Daphnia pulex: one gene and its partners. The protein of the gene in region 2 binds, or shares a complex with, the protein of the main gene of each other region. Links are inferred from orthologs where the notes say so. Each region holds a gene or a part of one and is shown on either strand. Other genes may lie near its edges. The genes, in order: eukaryotic translation initiation factor 3 subunit L-like, eukaryotic translation initiation factor 3 subunit D-like, eukaryotic translation initiation factor 3 subunit J-like and eukaryotic translation initiation factor 3 subunit I-like.

What was found.
Region 1: eukaryotic translation initiation factor 3 subunit D-like (region 2) and eukaryotic translation initiation factor 3 subunit L-like share a complex: the UniProt entries of both Homo sapiens proteins name them as parts of the eukaryotic translation initiation factor 3 (eIF-3) complex. The link is inferred for Daphnia pulex from reciprocal best matches to the Homo sapiens genes EIF3D and EIF3L.
Region 3: eukaryotic translation initiation factor 3 subunit D-like (region 2) and eukaryotic translation initiation factor 3 subunit J-like share a complex: the UniProt entries of both Homo sapiens proteins name them as parts of the eukaryotic translation initiation factor 3 (eIF-3) complex. The link is inferred for Daphnia pulex from reciprocal best matches to the Homo sapiens genes EIF3D and EIF3J.
Region 4: eukaryotic translation initiation factor 3 subunit D-like (region 2) and eukaryotic translation initiation factor 3 subunit I-like share a complex: the UniProt entries of both Homo sapiens proteins name them as parts of the eukaryotic translation initiation factor 3 (eIF-3) complex. The link is inferred for Daphnia pulex from reciprocal best matches to the Homo sapiens genes EIF3D and EIF3I.

Annotation. Positions count from the first base shown.
Region 1 is NC_060018.1:1,452,578-1,456,700, reverse strand, and holds eukaryotic translation initiation factor 3 subunit L-like, read left to right. Parts: upstream 1-1,310; 5' UTR 1,311-1,456; coding exon 1,457-1,480; intron 1,481-1,541; coding exon 1,542-1,741; intron 1,742-1,808; coding exon 1,809-2,020; intron 2,021-2,081; coding exon 2,082-2,201; intron 2,202-2,263; coding exon 2,264-2,373; intron 2,374-2,431; coding exon 2,432-2,602; intron 2,603-2,665; coding exon 2,666-2,836; intron 2,837-2,897; coding exon 2,898-3,044; intron 3,045-3,107; coding exon 3,108-3,271; intron 3,272-3,331; coding exon 3,332-3,500; intron 3,501-3,564; coding exon 3,565-3,699; 3' UTR 3,700-3,782; downstream 3,783-4,123. Other genes in the region: tubulin beta chain, read right to left, coding at 1-13. UniProt on the Homo sapiens protein: Component of the eukaryotic translation initiation factor 3 (eIF-3) complex, which is required for several steps in the initiation of protein synthesis.
Region 2 is NC_060023.1:3,616,111-3,620,138, reverse strand, and holds eukaryotic translation initiation factor 3 subunit D-like, read left to right. Parts: upstream 1-1,228; 5' UTR 1,229-1,374; coding exon 1,375-1,482; intron 1,483-1,542; coding exon 1,543-1,795; intron 1,796-1,852; coding exon 1,853-1,920; intron 1,921-1,979; coding exon 1,980-2,107; intron 2,108-2,178; coding exon 2,179-2,311; intron 2,312-2,375; coding exon 2,376-2,523; intron 2,524-2,584; coding exon 2,585-2,709; intron 2,710-2,773; coding exon 2,774-2,986; intron 2,987-3,045; coding exon 3,046-3,188; intron 3,189-3,247; coding exon 3,248-3,516; intron 3,517-3,838; exon of another isoform or gene 3,839-3,880; coding exon 3,881-3,891; 3' UTR 3,892-4,002; downstream 4,003-4,028. Other genes in the region: cytochrome b-c1 complex subunit 2, mitochondrial-like, read left to right, coding at 1-6, 74-513; L-allo-threonine aldolase-like, read right to left, coding at 4,004-4,028. UniProt on the Homo sapiens protein: mRNA cap-binding component of the eukaryotic translation initiation factor 3 (eIF-3) complex, a complex required for several steps in the initiation of protein synthesis of a specialized repertoire of mRNAs.
Region 3 is NC_060019.1:7,843,314-7,846,551, forward strand, and holds eukaryotic translation initiation factor 3 subunit J-like, read right to left. Parts: upstream 2,040-3,238; 5' UTR 1,975-2,039; coding exon 1,953-1,974; intron 1,820-1,952; coding exon 1,725-1,819; intron 1,481-1,724; coding exon 1,421-1,480; intron 1,358-1,420; coding exon 1,165-1,357; intron 1,077-1,164; coding exon 906-1,076; intron 843-905; coding exon 652-842; 3' UTR 578-651; downstream 1-577. Other genes in the region: coiled-coil domain-containing protein 39-like, read right to left, coding at 1-16; secretory carrier-associated membrane protein 2-like, read left to right, coding at 2,381-2,437, 2,607-2,714, 2,774-2,875, 2,936-3,017, 3,084-3,212. UniProt on the Homo sapiens protein: Component of the eukaryotic translation initiation factor 3 (eIF-3) complex, which is required for several steps in the initiation of protein synthesis.
Region 4 is NC_060019.1:6,193,254-6,196,720, reverse strand, and holds eukaryotic translation initiation factor 3 subunit I-like, read left to right. Parts: upstream 1-1,397; 5' UTR 1,398-1,544; coding exon 1,545-1,547; intron 1,548-1,613; coding exon 1,614-1,860; intron 1,861-1,926; coding exon 1,927-2,209; intron 2,210-2,275; coding exon 2,276-2,477; intron 2,478-2,542; coding exon 2,543-2,791; 3' UTR 2,792-2,929; downstream 2,930-3,467. Other genes in the region: regulator of telomere elongation helicase 1 homolog, read right to left, coding at 1-8, 68-181, 253-579, 664-954, 1,021-1,122. UniProt on the Homo sapiens protein: Component of the eukaryotic translation initiation factor 3 (eIF-3) complex, which is required for several steps in the initiation of protein synthesis.

The DNA of each region.
Region 1 (4,123 bases), on a different chromosome or scaffold from region 2:
CGATTTCACGCATTTTCTAATATTTTTCGAAATGAAATTGAAAGAGAAAAACTCTCAAGTTTAACGGTCAACGTGCCTCGCGCTGGAATCCTCTGGATATGAATTTCCGTTTGCAATGGGACTGGCATTTATAACCTCATGAACAGCCTTGGGTGCAAGAGGGCGGAGCTTGATTGTGTTGCGCATTGCCATTGGTCCACGAAATCAAACATGAAAGCCAAATCCTTATTGGGAGATTCGAAATTTGCGTCCGCGCGTTTCGGTTATTTTTTGCTCCTAGAGATGCAGAGTTTATATGTTTCTGTATATAGTTGGCTGAATATTAAAAAACGGAGATATGACCCAATCAAAATTCTAAATAAGTAGAGAAATATTTGCAGGGCAACGTTTTTGGTTTGTCTCTAGTTCCTTTTATTGAACGTTATAATCTTAAACTTCAAAAAATGCCTGCTTCCATTTAAGTTCAGTAAAATATTAGAATTAAATATAAAGTTTCGATTAAAGATAAGATAACCCACTTATTGTCATCGGTGTGGCGAATATGGTAAGAAATAACACGCTTTGAAAATTCATTCCTTTTCCGTGGTTGGTATGTGATTGAAATATTGCCAATTACGTCTCTAAAAGGAAAGAAAACCGGGAACCGTATAAATTCAAAAACCAGTTTGTACGGCATCATGGTTTGCGATTTTCGAGTTGATTTCAAAGTAATAAAACCTGTTCGGCACTATTAACCATTGACTCCAGCATAGTTTTATGTAATCCTGCTTAAATGCATTAGGCATAATGGTCACATGAAACCACAAAACACTTATTCCAAACATGGCAAATAATCACCATGACAGCAGTACACACATGTATGCCGGTGAATCACGCGACAGGGGACGAGCCGGAGCCGGCGAGAAACGTAAAAACTCGGTCCCAGTTGTAGCAGACCTCTGCCAGACACGATCAATACTTATGTGTCTAGACAACCCATCCTGCAACTGCAACAAATCCACCTCAGCAGTGTTTTTATGGTTCCTGGGAAACACAGCCTGAATGCAGCTATTGGAGTGCTTGATGTCTTCATCCGTAAATTTGAAACAATTTTGGTAACCATTTTCTTTGAATATTTACTTCCTGATCAACTTTTGATCATGATTTGATATACTTGCTATAAAACAGAAAAACAGAATTGTAATGGCAGTCCCGTTTAGCATTGAAATCTGTTAAGTTTAAGGTAAATTAATCTCAACCGGAGTAAATAAGTTTGACGATCGATTTTTACATTCGAATTTTTGACAGATGATCTTTTGGAAAATTGTTGAGTACATGCGGCAACGCTGTGCAGCTACTATTATTTGACACTAGAGCCACTAGTAATCGAAATAGTAATCTTACTCGTGGACTTTTCTCAATTTTCCGCAATTTTCAATTGAAATTTAATAACTATCGGTATTGAAAAACCTAAAAGATGTATGCCGAAGAATTTGAGGATGTAAGTGTACAATAATTACAACATGTTCTGTACCTATCATCAAAAACTTTTTCATTTGTAGTACGAGTATGAAGCCGATGCCTATGAGCCAACCGGGGATCCACGGCTTGATGCTGAAAATGAACGATACACTAGCTATGGAAGTGCTCCCCAATATGCTCAATATAGCATGCCGGATGTGATCAAGAAATTCATTATTTATTTTCGAGAGATGGTAAACTCTGGAAAGTTGTATGAAATTCAGAATGTCTACGAGAACACGTAAGCCCACCACAGTGCCTGTCAGACAAAGTTGAATTGTTGATCCATTGTTTTTTACTCCATTTAGATTTCCAAAATTAACTGAAGAGCACTTCAAATCATCCCCTTGGCCTGATGCAGATGAAGTTTCCCCATTAGTGGATGATGATCAACCGTTTCTGATTCTCTACAAGGAACTTTACTATCGCCACATTTATGCACGAATCCAAGGAGGACCAACAATTGAACAACGTTTTGAGTCTTACTACAACTACTGTCAACTTTTCAACCATATTTTGAGTACTAACTTCACTAATTTTTAGATGTTTGCCCAAAGCCTTCATAAACCATTTTACTACAGGTGCTAAAAGTCCAGTTGTTTTGGAGCTTCCTCATCAATGGCTGTGGGAAATAATTGATGAATTTGTCTACCAGTTCCAGTCTTTTGCTCTTTTTCGTTGTTCTCTTCATAAGAAATCAGGTACACCCATCATCTTATGCTCCATCTTTTCTTTTCTCACCATTTTTTTTTTTTTTTTACAGCTGAAGAACTTGAATTCATCAGAATCAACCCAACTTTGTGGAACATTCATTCTGTATTGAATGTGTTGTATTCTTTGGTTGACAAATCCAATATCAACCAACAATTGGAAGTAAGAAGGAGAGAATCATTATTGGTTGTAATTTAAAATTAATACAATCGATATGTAGGTATACGCCAAAGGTGATGATCCCGATACCGTAGCAGGAGAATTTGGCCGCCGACCTCTTTATAAAATGTTGGGTTACTTCAGTCTTGTTGGATTACTGAGACTCCACTCATTATTAGGAGATTTCTATCAAGCTGTTAAGGTTCTTGAAAATATGGAACTCAATAAAAAGGTAAGCGCAAAATTAAAAATGATTTGCATTGCTTGTAAACGTAATCCATCAATCTCATTTTAGACTCTGTACTCCAGAGTACCTGCCTGCCAAATCTCAACTTACTATTATGTTGGTTTTGCTTATTTGATGATGAGGCGGTATGCTGATGCTATTCGGACGTTTTCCCATATTCTACTCTACGTCCAGCGCACTAAGCCATTATACCAGGCTAAAACATACCAAAATGACCAGGTCAATTAGATTTAAGTGAAATGAAATACTGAAATCTTAATCTCCTTTTTTGTGTTTATAGATCAACAAACAAACCGAAAAAATGTACGTTCTACTGTCGGTGTGCCTCGTTCTTCATCCTCAGCGCATCGACGAATCTCTACAGGCGATCCTGCGAGAGAAACCTCATGCCGAACGCATCGTGCGGATGCAAAAGGGAGAACTTCAAGTGAGTTTCTGTTGATATTTTTTAAAGTTAAAGCAACAATTTAAATTTGTTCAATTATGTTAGGAATTCGAAAATGCATTCGCTTTCGCTTCTCCGAAATTTTTGTCTCCTGTTCCACCTCCTGTCGAAGCACCACCTGCCGATCATCGCCGTGAACCATTTCAACAGTTGGCAAAAGTTTTCATGGATGAAGTACAACAGCAACTTACTTTGCCAACGATTCGCAGGTATTTGTTCAACATTAGATTTGAATGTCCGAGTATTATTAACATAAATTTTCTGTTTAGTTATCTACGTTTGTACACTACTATGCCTGTCGCCAAAATGGCTGCGTTTTTGGAAATGCCCGATACTGATTTCCGCACCCATCTGCTATGCTTCAAACATAAGATGAAGAACGTCGTTTGGACTAAAGGCACCTCTGGATTGGACGGTGAACTCCAATCAGGCTCTGAGGTGAAATATCTTAGAATTGTAGTTCTAGTGGAATGTATCTTATTTACGCTTTTGCTCGCATTAGGTGGACTTCTATATCGATGGCGGAATGATCCATATTGCTGACACGAAAGTAGCTCGGCGCTATGGTGATTACTTCATTAGACAAATCCATAAATTCGAGGAAATTAACCGCGTATTGAAGACACAAAAAGTTTAAAAATCCGATGCTTTACCTCCTTTAAATATGTTTTACATCTTATTGGTTTTTCAAAGGCAAAATACATAACATGGAGGAAGTTAGTGATTTTTAACTTTTTTTAAAGAGAATTTTTTTCTTACCTTTAAGTCCGACAAGTTACAAGGAAGTCAAATGAAATGAATGTAAGGCCACCAGTGATGTTATGTACGTTTCTCTTATTTTTGAATGTATTCAAATGATAAGATTATTTTTATTAGAGAACATTTTTTAAATAATTGGACCGAAGATCTTACTAGAAATGTAGACCATTGGCATCCTCATAGGAAATGTAAAAAAAAAAAAATGCTATCTAAAATCAAACAAGGGGAATTCAAACACACAAGGGCAATTTGAAAATTTTCAGTTTCAGTCAAAGCATCAGTAGGGAATATGAGTTTTTTTT
Region 2 (4,028 bases):
GTGCAGGTAATCATATTCCCCTTCTTCCCACAATTAAAAAGTCTATCAAAATAACTCCTTTGTTACTGTCTAGGAATCCCAGTTAAATATGGTTCTGGAGCAGGATCAAAACTAAACCAAGCAGTGTTGGGTGCTGGTGCAGTTTCTTCCTTGAATTTGAACTACTCCGATGCTGGTCTATTTGGGTTCGTGGCCGCTGCCCCAGCCTCAGATGCCGGCAAAGTTGTTTCCGCCGCTACAAAAGTTTTGCGATCAGCTTCAGTCAACGAAAGCCAATTGAGCCGTGCAAAAGCCCAACTTAAAGCCGACTTGTTGATGGCCAAAGAGAACACTGGTGTGTTAGTTGAAGAGTTGGCTCTGCAAGCGCTTCTCAACCGGGCTGATCTTCTTTCTACTGTCGATAATGTTTCAATTGCTGACGTCAACGCTGTAGCTTCCCGGTTGGCTTCTGCCAAGCTAACTGTCGCTGCCATTGGAAACCTGAGCAACGTCCCGTTTGTCGATGAATTATAAAATTTTGAATAGGTCTCTGAATTATAATGTAGTCTATATCTATATTTGCACAGTGGCCCATTAGAAAATATCCAGATCGAACGGTTAATCATTCTTAAGAGCTGAAAGAATACACGTGCCCTGTACAGAATATCCACAGTTTCTCTAATCACTCTAATACTGAAAAATCTTACCTCACAATTCCTCTTTATGTTCCTCTTTCGCAAAATTAAGATTGATACGTCATTCATTTAAAAAACGAAGATACATGGAGGAGAAAGTAATGATTCTCTACTCTCGAAAGAAAATTTGTGCTATCTTCGAAAAGACAACAATAATATGTAATTAAAAAACATTTCTCTCTAGTGGGCTTACTTATATTTTAATGAAGTGTGGGGTTTCCGTGATCTTACGTTCAATCTGGTGTAACTTTCTAAAGTAATGTAACATATTTCTTCATCTGAGTCTGAGCTTGACTCTGGAGGGATTTTATAAAAAACACCATATTCCAGATCAGAATACATTTAGTCATTTAGTATTCTGGCCATTTTTTTATTATATTTTTTGTATTTTTTAGCTGATTTAAGATTTTCATACTTCAGTATCTTATTATAATTGCGTCTAAATTAAAAATTTGTGATTGAAATTAAAGATATGCTAATTCGGAATTATTAGGAAAACAGTGGAAAAAAGTAAAGCGGCAGAAAGGTATAAACATCATTTTCAACAATGGCAACAGTGGTATACGTAGCATCCGGTACTAAAATGGCGATTACCATGTTCTAACTTGTAGCAAGCTGTCAGCCAGCCGGTCTAGTGAGAAAGTGCCTACGACTAAATTCTGAAAAGTTATTTTCATAAGGTCACGTTAAATTGTATAACATGGCGGCGCATTTTGTTCCACCAGCGACTCAAGACAATAATGACGGATGGGGACCTTTAGGTATTCCCGACCGCTACAAAGATATGCCATATCAACCATTCTCGAAGGTAACGTTTCATTGCCGAATTTTGTATTAACTTCTTCTGATGTTTTGTTTAATTTATTAGATGTCGGAATGGGCTGGTGGAAGCAGCATCAATTATTCCTTTACAGACCGCAAGTATGGTGGTGGAAAATACTCTGGAGGGGCTGGTGGAAGCCAGTATGCTTATCTGCATGATGAGGAAGAGAACAGCTTTCAGCTTGTGGATACTGCAAGGACTCCAAGACCAATGTATGCTAGAGGAAGATTCCTTCGCAACCAACGGCTTGCAAGAGGCAGACAAAACTTTAGGAATTCTCAGCCTGTGCCACTTAAAGGTAAAGTGTTCAAATAGCAATTAATAGCAACAGATTGTTTATACATTTTCTTTGAAGGTGGCAAGATGAAGGATAACCGAATGAGACAGACTAGGAACAAGTGGAATAATAGAGGACCTCGTCAAGTAAAGCTTCTCACCTTACCGATTATTCAGTCTCATACTCATTTTTTAAAAACTTGTAGGGCCAAATTCAGGTTAAAAACCGTGAATCATCAGTTATTGTTCAGCCTTCATGGAAAATCATTGAAGAGATGGATTTCCCCAGGCTCAACAAACTTTCTCTGCGTCTTAGCAAGGAAGCTTCTGATTTGTAATCAACTATTTAAACTAAAACCTTTCACATGCTGATTTTAAAATAATGATATTATTTTATTTTTCCAGACTTACTTGTGGTGAACTCGAGTTTTATGATAAGCAGTACGACCGCGTAACTGTGAAAAATGAACGAAGACTGCAAAGAATTGATCGTATTTTTCACAAGGTCACCACAACTGATGACCCCATTATCCGCAAAGTAAGAAACAGTAGTCACATTCAAGTCTTACGCGTGGTAGTATGCTAATTCTCAAATTCATTAGTTGGCAAAAACTGAGGGTAATGTCTACGCAACTGATTCCATCTTGGCTACTTTGATGTGCAGTATTCGCTCCAACTATAGTTGGGACATAATCGTCCAGAAAGTTGGTGGCAAACTGTTTTTTGATAAACGTGATGATTCGGAATTTGGTACGTACCTTTTGGCCACTGAGGGAGTTTGCAATGATCTATAATCTTCCCTTTTCCCTAGATCTGCTAACTGTATCCGAAACATCCAATGAACCTCCTCAAGAAGAGGGCATCAATAGCCCACGTAATTTGGCACTAGAAGCGACCTTTATTAATCATAATTTATCCCAACAAGTCCTGAAGATGGTATTTATAATAGGTTTTATAAAATGGCATAAATCCCTAATTTTGTCGTTTCATAATCTTGTAGGGAGAAGAAAAATTCAAATTGGATGAGCCTAATCCCTTCATTTCGGAAGATGAAGTAGGTGAAGTTGCCTCGGTGGCTTACCGTTACCGTAAATGGGATTTAGATGGGGGTGTTGTTCTGGTGGCACGTTGCGAACATGACGCTGTCACCGTTGGATCGGCTGGTGATAACCAATTTATCAACATCAAAGCTCTTAATGAATGGGACTCAAGGGTATGCATATTCACTGTTCGTAATGAAACTGTGTCTTTAAAATGATTTTGTACTTCAAGTTGTCTGGTGGAGTCGAATGGCGCCAGAAACTGGACACTCAGCGAGGTGCTGTTCTGGCCAACGAGCTGAAGAATAATGCATGCAAGCTAGCAAAATGGACTGTGCAAGCTCTGCTCGCCAACTCTGATTGGATTAAATTCGGGTATGTGAAGACTCCTGTTGTCCCTCGAATATTATTGTAACTAATATTGTTTACTTCAGATATGTTTCCCGTATGCACTTACGAGATACATCGCGTCATGTAATCCTTGGAACACAGCAGTTCCGCCCGTCAGATTTCGCATCGCAAATCAACCTTAACATGGACAATGCTTGGGGCATTCTCCGTTGTATTATTGATTTGTGTATGAAGGAAGAGGATGGCAAATATTTGTTGGTGAAGGATCCTAACAAGCCCGTCATCCGCCTTTACAAGGTGCCCGATAACACGTTTGAGAGCGACGATGAAGCATTTTTCGAAGAAGGCGAAGGTTTGTAACCAATCAATATCGTAACGTGCGTGTGTAACTGCTGGCTTGCTTTTTTTGCTTGGGTGTTGGCCTCCCTTTTTTTTTTACTAGCAAAGATTAAATAAACACGTCCAAGCAGTTAATCAAATTTCCCTGCATTTGTACGCCGTGTTACGTTTTGCTTGAATTCGTAGCTCGAGCTTTGTATATATGTATAATATCTAACCACTAGTGGAAGTGCTTGGCTTCTTGGGGGAAAAAAACCTAATTAGATACGCGACATGACTTAAGGTAGCTTTAAAAAAGGCGCTATTAAACGCATGATTTCATAACGTCAACCACGAAATGGTAAATAATAATGTATTTATTTTTTACACATGAATAGAAGACGAGTAACGGCTGATACAAACAAAAGAACAGCTCTTCCACCAATTCCCCAATCTACAACAGTACTACGTTTGTAATGATCGTTACATGGAATAAAGCACTTATGAAGCTTCCAGTTTACTTATACAGCTTTACTTTGTTTGATT
Region 3 (3,238 bases), on a different chromosome or scaffold from region 2:
CTTCTTTTAGTTCCATTTTCTTGCTCAACTTGTGCTCTATCACTCCAGAAATTCATTAACGAACTTTCTCACAGTGAAACGCCATATAACGAGTTAGAAGTATCGACCAAACAACCACTTTTATGCCACTACTAGTCTGCTACTCAGCAGGAAACGCACGTGCTTCATTTATTGATTAGGCATGCAGCCGGCTGCCACGGCAACGATTTCCATTACATTTTAAAAACAAAACCCCCCTAATCCCCTCTCTTACGCCCACTGGGTATCAAATAAGGATTCACCAGTATACAAATTTGCGGGGTACTCAAAACTCAAATTTAAAAAAATAAATATTGAAAGTTATTTGCTTACTTTTGACAGTGTGTAGCATTCAATGGGACAAATACATCTAACTACATCTAACTTTACAACTGTCACCATCTCCTTTTTTGACGCTAAAAGTAGAAAACTGGAACGTCTAAGAAAATATGCAACTTAACTCTATATATTGAATTAGAATAATTAAGAGGGAGGTTTTAACTTTTAACAGAAATTCAATCTCAATATATCTTAAAACACTGAAAAAACTGACAAGAGCAAAATGGCAAAATCATACATTTATTTTACCAATAAACCTTTTCCCGCCAAAAACAAAAGAAAAACAATTGGACCCTACATGAAGTCGTCATAGTCTCCTCCTCCGAAATCATCACCGAAGTTGTCGACCATTCCTTTGTCCATTTTTAAAGCAACTTTTGTTTTTCCTTTCTTTCCACCTTTTGTCGCCGCCTTCACCATCTTGAGTTTTTCTTCGTGCAAGGATTTGGTAGTTAGACTAACTTTTCTAAGGACTTCGACTTCCACTATGTTGAAAAACTGGGATGTAGAAAAGTTTTTAGCAACCAACATTAGAAAATGTGACTTACATCCAATGCAAACATCTTTAATGAAGTCCTCTATAAAATCATTATAGCACGCTTTAGTTGACAATGACTGAAGTTTTTTCACCAAGTTGTTCTTGAATTCTGAGAATTCCTCTTTAGATGAAGGGTTTGCTTCATCTATGCTTCCCTCTGTAGGCAAACTACCAGTAATTCCTGGAAAATAAAAATAACATTGAGAACAAAATATAAAACAAATCATGCTTAGTGCAGGTCAGCAATACAGTTTCCTAAGACAACTTACCAAAGGTTTCCTTGGCCATTTCAAAATCTGATTCTTCAACTAGTTTTTGTCTCCGAAGCTTTTCTGCTATTCTCTCTTCAGGTGTCATGTTTGCTTCCTGCAATATTTTTCTGGCTTCAGCTTCTTCTCTGCTTTTCTTTTCTTTTTCGGCTATTTTTTCTTCTAATCTTTTACTTGACTTTTTTTTGGTAGCCTGAAAGTAACAAACACATTTTAAATTTTTTGGATACTTTTACGAGAGATCACATGTACTTACTGTGGCTGCTGCTTTGACTTCAGCAGGCTTATTTTCTGTTTCTTCATCTTCCCAGCTATCCTATCATTTATAAACAAGAAAAAATGATAATTTTGAAATCAATCACAACTTTATGTAAAACTCATTGAGCAATAAGAATTTTTTGGCAAAAGAAGACACATGGTAGTCAAGTGAAAGTTGTAAGAATTGGAGCAGAAATAGAAAGGTACTGAGAGAACTTTTTTTCACTACAAGCGCTACAAGGTTCTACCAAATTTGTAGATATACTTACTACTAATATCATCACAATTGAATTACAACTCACCTTGACAGGTTCATCTTCATCCTCACCTTCCCATTTATCTGAAATTATGGCAGTCGTAACTGGAACAGGGACAGAGGGTTCAAAATCTTCGGCATCTATAATCACCACAAAATCGTATTTGATTAGAGTATACGATTAAATGGAACTTTGATATGCACTATTGAGAATTTCATACAAAAAACAGGTGGAATTGAATAACTTAATATAGAAATAATTAAATAAAATCACCCCAATCCGCCTCGGCCTCCATCTTCAACGAAAAATCGTGAACACACTAGTGTCCATGGCAGTTGCCAAATGCTTTCACTTTTCTAATAATGTTAATATGTGCATTACAAAATATTAAATATAGAAACCTAACAATAATTAAATTTTGAAACTTTATTGCAAACCTTTTATTATGAATTATTTAATTTTTTTTACCTGAGATATCTCGTTAATCCCAGCGTTGCTTAGTCTAGTGTTTCTGTCTTCCAGAGGCGCTAGTGTTTGCCTGTTTCCGAACTGCTTTTCTCTGACATTACCTGTTATTTAGCAATTGATAGGAGTTTCTGTCTGTATTAGTTGAGTTGACGTTTCACGGTGACCGTCGAAACAAAAGTTACCGCAAATTGGAGTAACAAAGTGACCGAAGTTAAAAAAAGAAATATTTGATAATGTCTGGATTTGATCAGAATCCTTTTGCAGAACCGGCTGTTTTCAACCCGTTTGCGGTAGATTATTTATAATATGTATATTATACTTACTATTACCATACTAATACCTTGGTTGAAAACTGGTGATTCATGGAGTACTCGCCGCATACAATATGAAAGAAAACCTTTTGAAAAATCACCTTGTTTATTAGTTTAGTGGTAAAGTGGTTGTTTACTTTCACAATAGGATCCATCTGTCCAGCAAGCTGCAGGAAACAATGCTGCGAGAGCTCAGCAAGGTCTTGAAGAATACAACCCTTTTGATGGTAGTAATCAAACTACCAGAGTTTCAATGGTAAAACATAATTTTATCATGAAAGTGGGAAGTGTGTTTGATTTGTTACAAAATTTAAGGACCGTGTTGGTGGAGCCAATCCACCCCCAACAATTCAAGCTGCCCCAGTGATATCTCCAGGACCACAACAACAAGCAGCTATGTCAAATGCGGATTTTCAAGTATTAAAACTTAAAAAGAAAGAAGGAAATCTTTATTCATTATATTGCATGGTTTTATAGAGACGTCAAGAAGAACTAGAGAAGAAAGCTCAAGAATTGCAGAGGCGAGAAGAAGAATTAAAGAATAATGTACCATTCAACTGTAGGAGAGAACAAATTTAAATGAAACTTTACTTTTTAATTTCTGTTATTTACTTCTTCATTACAGCTCAGCGCAATAATTGGCCACCACTGCCTGACAAGTTTTGTGTCCAACCATGCTTCTATCAAGACATCAATGTGGAAATCCCACTTGAATTTCAAAAAATTGTCCGCATGTTATACTATATTTGGATGCGTAAGTTAAACATATCATAGATTTCT
Region 4 (3,467 bases), on a different chromosome or scaffold from region 2:
TTCATGACCTGGAGTAAAAAGAACGCTAGAAGAATATACACCACATAATAAAAAGGATGTCGTTTACCTGGGTGACTTCATCAACACAAAGGGCTATATCTAAACTTCTAAGTTCAATAGATGAAGATTCTTCACACATTTTCTCAACATTGTGGGCCTCATCAAATATAACAATATTTCCCTAAACAAGCACAAAAAAAGAAGTTAATATTTCATGCACCTTTAAAGACTACTAAATGTACTGGGAATTACCTGGAGTTCAATGTTGTGAATTTTTCTCACTTTAGGATCAAGAAGGTAGTTGTATGGCATAAAGATGATGTCAGCTACCTTACGAATTTCTTTTGTCATAAAATAAGGGCAAGCAGAATGTTTTTTCCCCAAAGTCACCAAGTCTTCAATATCCAATACATCCATTTTGAAGTCTGGTTCCTCTTTCTTAGCATCTAGATTTGTGTGGAAGTAGCAAGTACGAGTAGTAGTTCTAGCATGGCACATGTGAAGCTTTACAGCATTGTTTGTTTCCTTTGACACTTCTGGATGAATGCACAGTTGGTCACGAGATCCAAGGATGCATACCTTAAATGAAGAAAAATAAAATAAGGGTTATCAAAACCCATTTCATGTAGGCAAATAGCTTTAATGGAAGAAGGAAATGCTCACCTTCATATATCTGTAAGAGGACCGTTTTAATTCAGAAATGACCTGGCTGAGCTGAGAATGAGTTCTGGATGCATAAATGATTTTGGGTACTCCAGCTCCAGGAGTAGCAGCATCTCCCCATCCAAGCCCAGTTGCATTACTTAATTGATTTTTAATATCCACTCCCATATCTCCAGCTAATTGACCAGACTGTATTTGTGCTTTTCGTGTTGCTAACCAACCCAATGTCGAACAAAGTAAGCACAAAGTTTTTCCTGTGCCAGTAGGAGATTCCAACAAACCATTTACACCCTATTTAATCAAGAATAACAAAATAAGAGCAAGGTGTCCACTGACCGATAACGCAACACTAGTTACTTTTTGAAGACATTCTATCACACGCTCCATGAATTTCTCTTGTACATCATAAGGCTGGAATGGAAATTCAATGGGAACATTATTTAAAACCAAATTCACCATTCTAGATAAATAATTTTGGTAATTGTGTTCCACGAGACACACGCAATGTGAAGGAACACGCAATGTGAGGGAACCCGCCAAAATAGTTGAATGAGAATAGCAGACGATGTTAAAACTGCTTTAACTTCCCTAGCGAGTAGCGCCCTCTGAAACAAATCGAAAAGTAAAATTATTTTTGCTAGTGTCATTTTAACGTTACGCGTGATTAAAGAATAAAAATTAATTTTTTTTTTTTTTGTATAAAGTTTAACAGTTTTGATAAGATTAAAGATGGTTCGTTTTTTGGTGGGTGGGTGGCAACACTGTAAAATCGAGCAGGGCCGGCAGACGAGTGTTGTAAAAACGTCGAAAGGCCTCAGTCGCCCCACGCCGAAAGAAGTGTACGTCATTATTACAGTTGTGACCAATTAATATAAACAAAAATGGTAATTTTCAGTGCATTTCTGTTATTTAATTTCATTATATTAATCCACTGTTATTGTTGATCACAGAAACCTCTTATGCTTCACGGTCACGAGCGTTCAATCACGCAAATTAAGTACAACCGGGATGGAGATTTGCTCTTCTCGTCAGCCAAGGACAACCACCCTTGTGTCTGGTATTCAGTCAATGGAGAACGATTGGGTACCTACGAGGGACATCAGGGTGTCGTATGGGCGATTGATGTTGATTGGGAAACTAAACGTTTCATGTCTGGTGCTGGTGATAATATGCTCATGATCTGGGATGTCCAAACTGGTATGTTCAGTGAGAAATGACCCCATTGCGTAATTACGACTTAAACTTTTCTTTGTTTTTTTTTAGGCAAGGCTTTGGGTAAAATTGAAGCCAAGACTTCAGTTCGTACATGCAACTTCAGTTACAGTGGAAACATGGCCCTTTACTCAACAGACAGTACTATGGGTAACCCTTCAGAGATCTTCATCATTGATGTCAGAACGGTTGACTCTTCCTTCAGTGAAAATGACCCCATCCTGCGAATTCCATTAACTAATGCCCCTAAAGCCACATCAATGGTTTGGGGTAATCTAGATGAGGTTGTTATTTCTGGTCACGACAATGGTGACTTGGCCCAATGGGACCTCAGGTGAGAATGACATTGTCGTAACCTTGAGTGCTTAAAACTAAATCCTGTTTATTATTTATACTACAGAACTGGCAAGAAGAACAACCTGGTTTCAGAACACGCCAAGTCTATCAACGACATGCAGCTGTCCAAAGACGGAGCTCTCCTCATCACTGCATCCAAGGATTGCACTGCAAAACTCTTTAACGCCGAAACGTTAGAGTGCCTAAAAACTTACAAAACTGAGCGACCCGTCAACAGTGCCGCCATCTCACCCATCATGGATCACGTATGATCCTTGAGCTTCTAAATGATTCAGTTGATCGATTCTAACTGTTTTCCTTCAATCTTCAGGTGGTGTTGGGAGGTGGTCAAGATGCCATGGACGTAACGACGACCTCAACGCGTGTCGGCAAGTTCGACGCCCGTTTCTTCCATCTGGTTTTCGAAGAAGAATTCGCTCGTGTCAAGGGCCATTTCGGTCCTATCAATTCTCTGGCCTTCCATCCCGACGGAAAGACGTACGCCAGTGGTGGTGAAGATGGTTACGTTCGTTTGAATCAATTCGACCAGTCTTACTTTGACTTTAAATTCGATTACTAAACCAGAAGAAAAGCGAAAAACCTACGAAGAACCCAATCCATCATCTATGAACACTTGTCTTGTGTTTATTTTTTGACCACTTTCGTGTACATGGGCGATATAAGAGAAGGTATTTGAATACATCATGTTGGAAAGGTCTCGAGTGAGAATCTTTTTTGGGGGGAAAATTTATTTCTCAAGAGAGGGCACGAGACGAAATTAAGCGTATACAAACAGGTTCGAGTCGCCTGTTTAAGAGGAGAAAACATAACTGATATTGTTTACAAACAATTCTTTTGAAATCTTTTTCTTCTGACGAAGTCCATTACAGGGTTTACGATATTCTAATCACCTACTGTTGCGCATCCCAAGAAAACTTGGCATTTTGCGAAGAGAAAGAGCTCATCAGTTTCCTTCTGGTAGAAGTTTTAATGGGAGACATTCTTGTCCCAGCTGAACGCATTGGAACTTATTACGACTCTAGCGTCTTGCCAACATGGTCGGGACTATCTCGAGCGACAAGGAATCATTGAGAAGCTCGCCGGTAATTTGGACGAGGCTCCTGCAGATCCTCTTGCCTCGCCTGCTCGTTCCCGGGCTTATGAAATTTATCGGTTCGCTGGCTCATTTTCAACCGGATGTATTAGCCAGATATCCGAACTTTACAAATACGATGTTCAACTTGATCGACGACTCC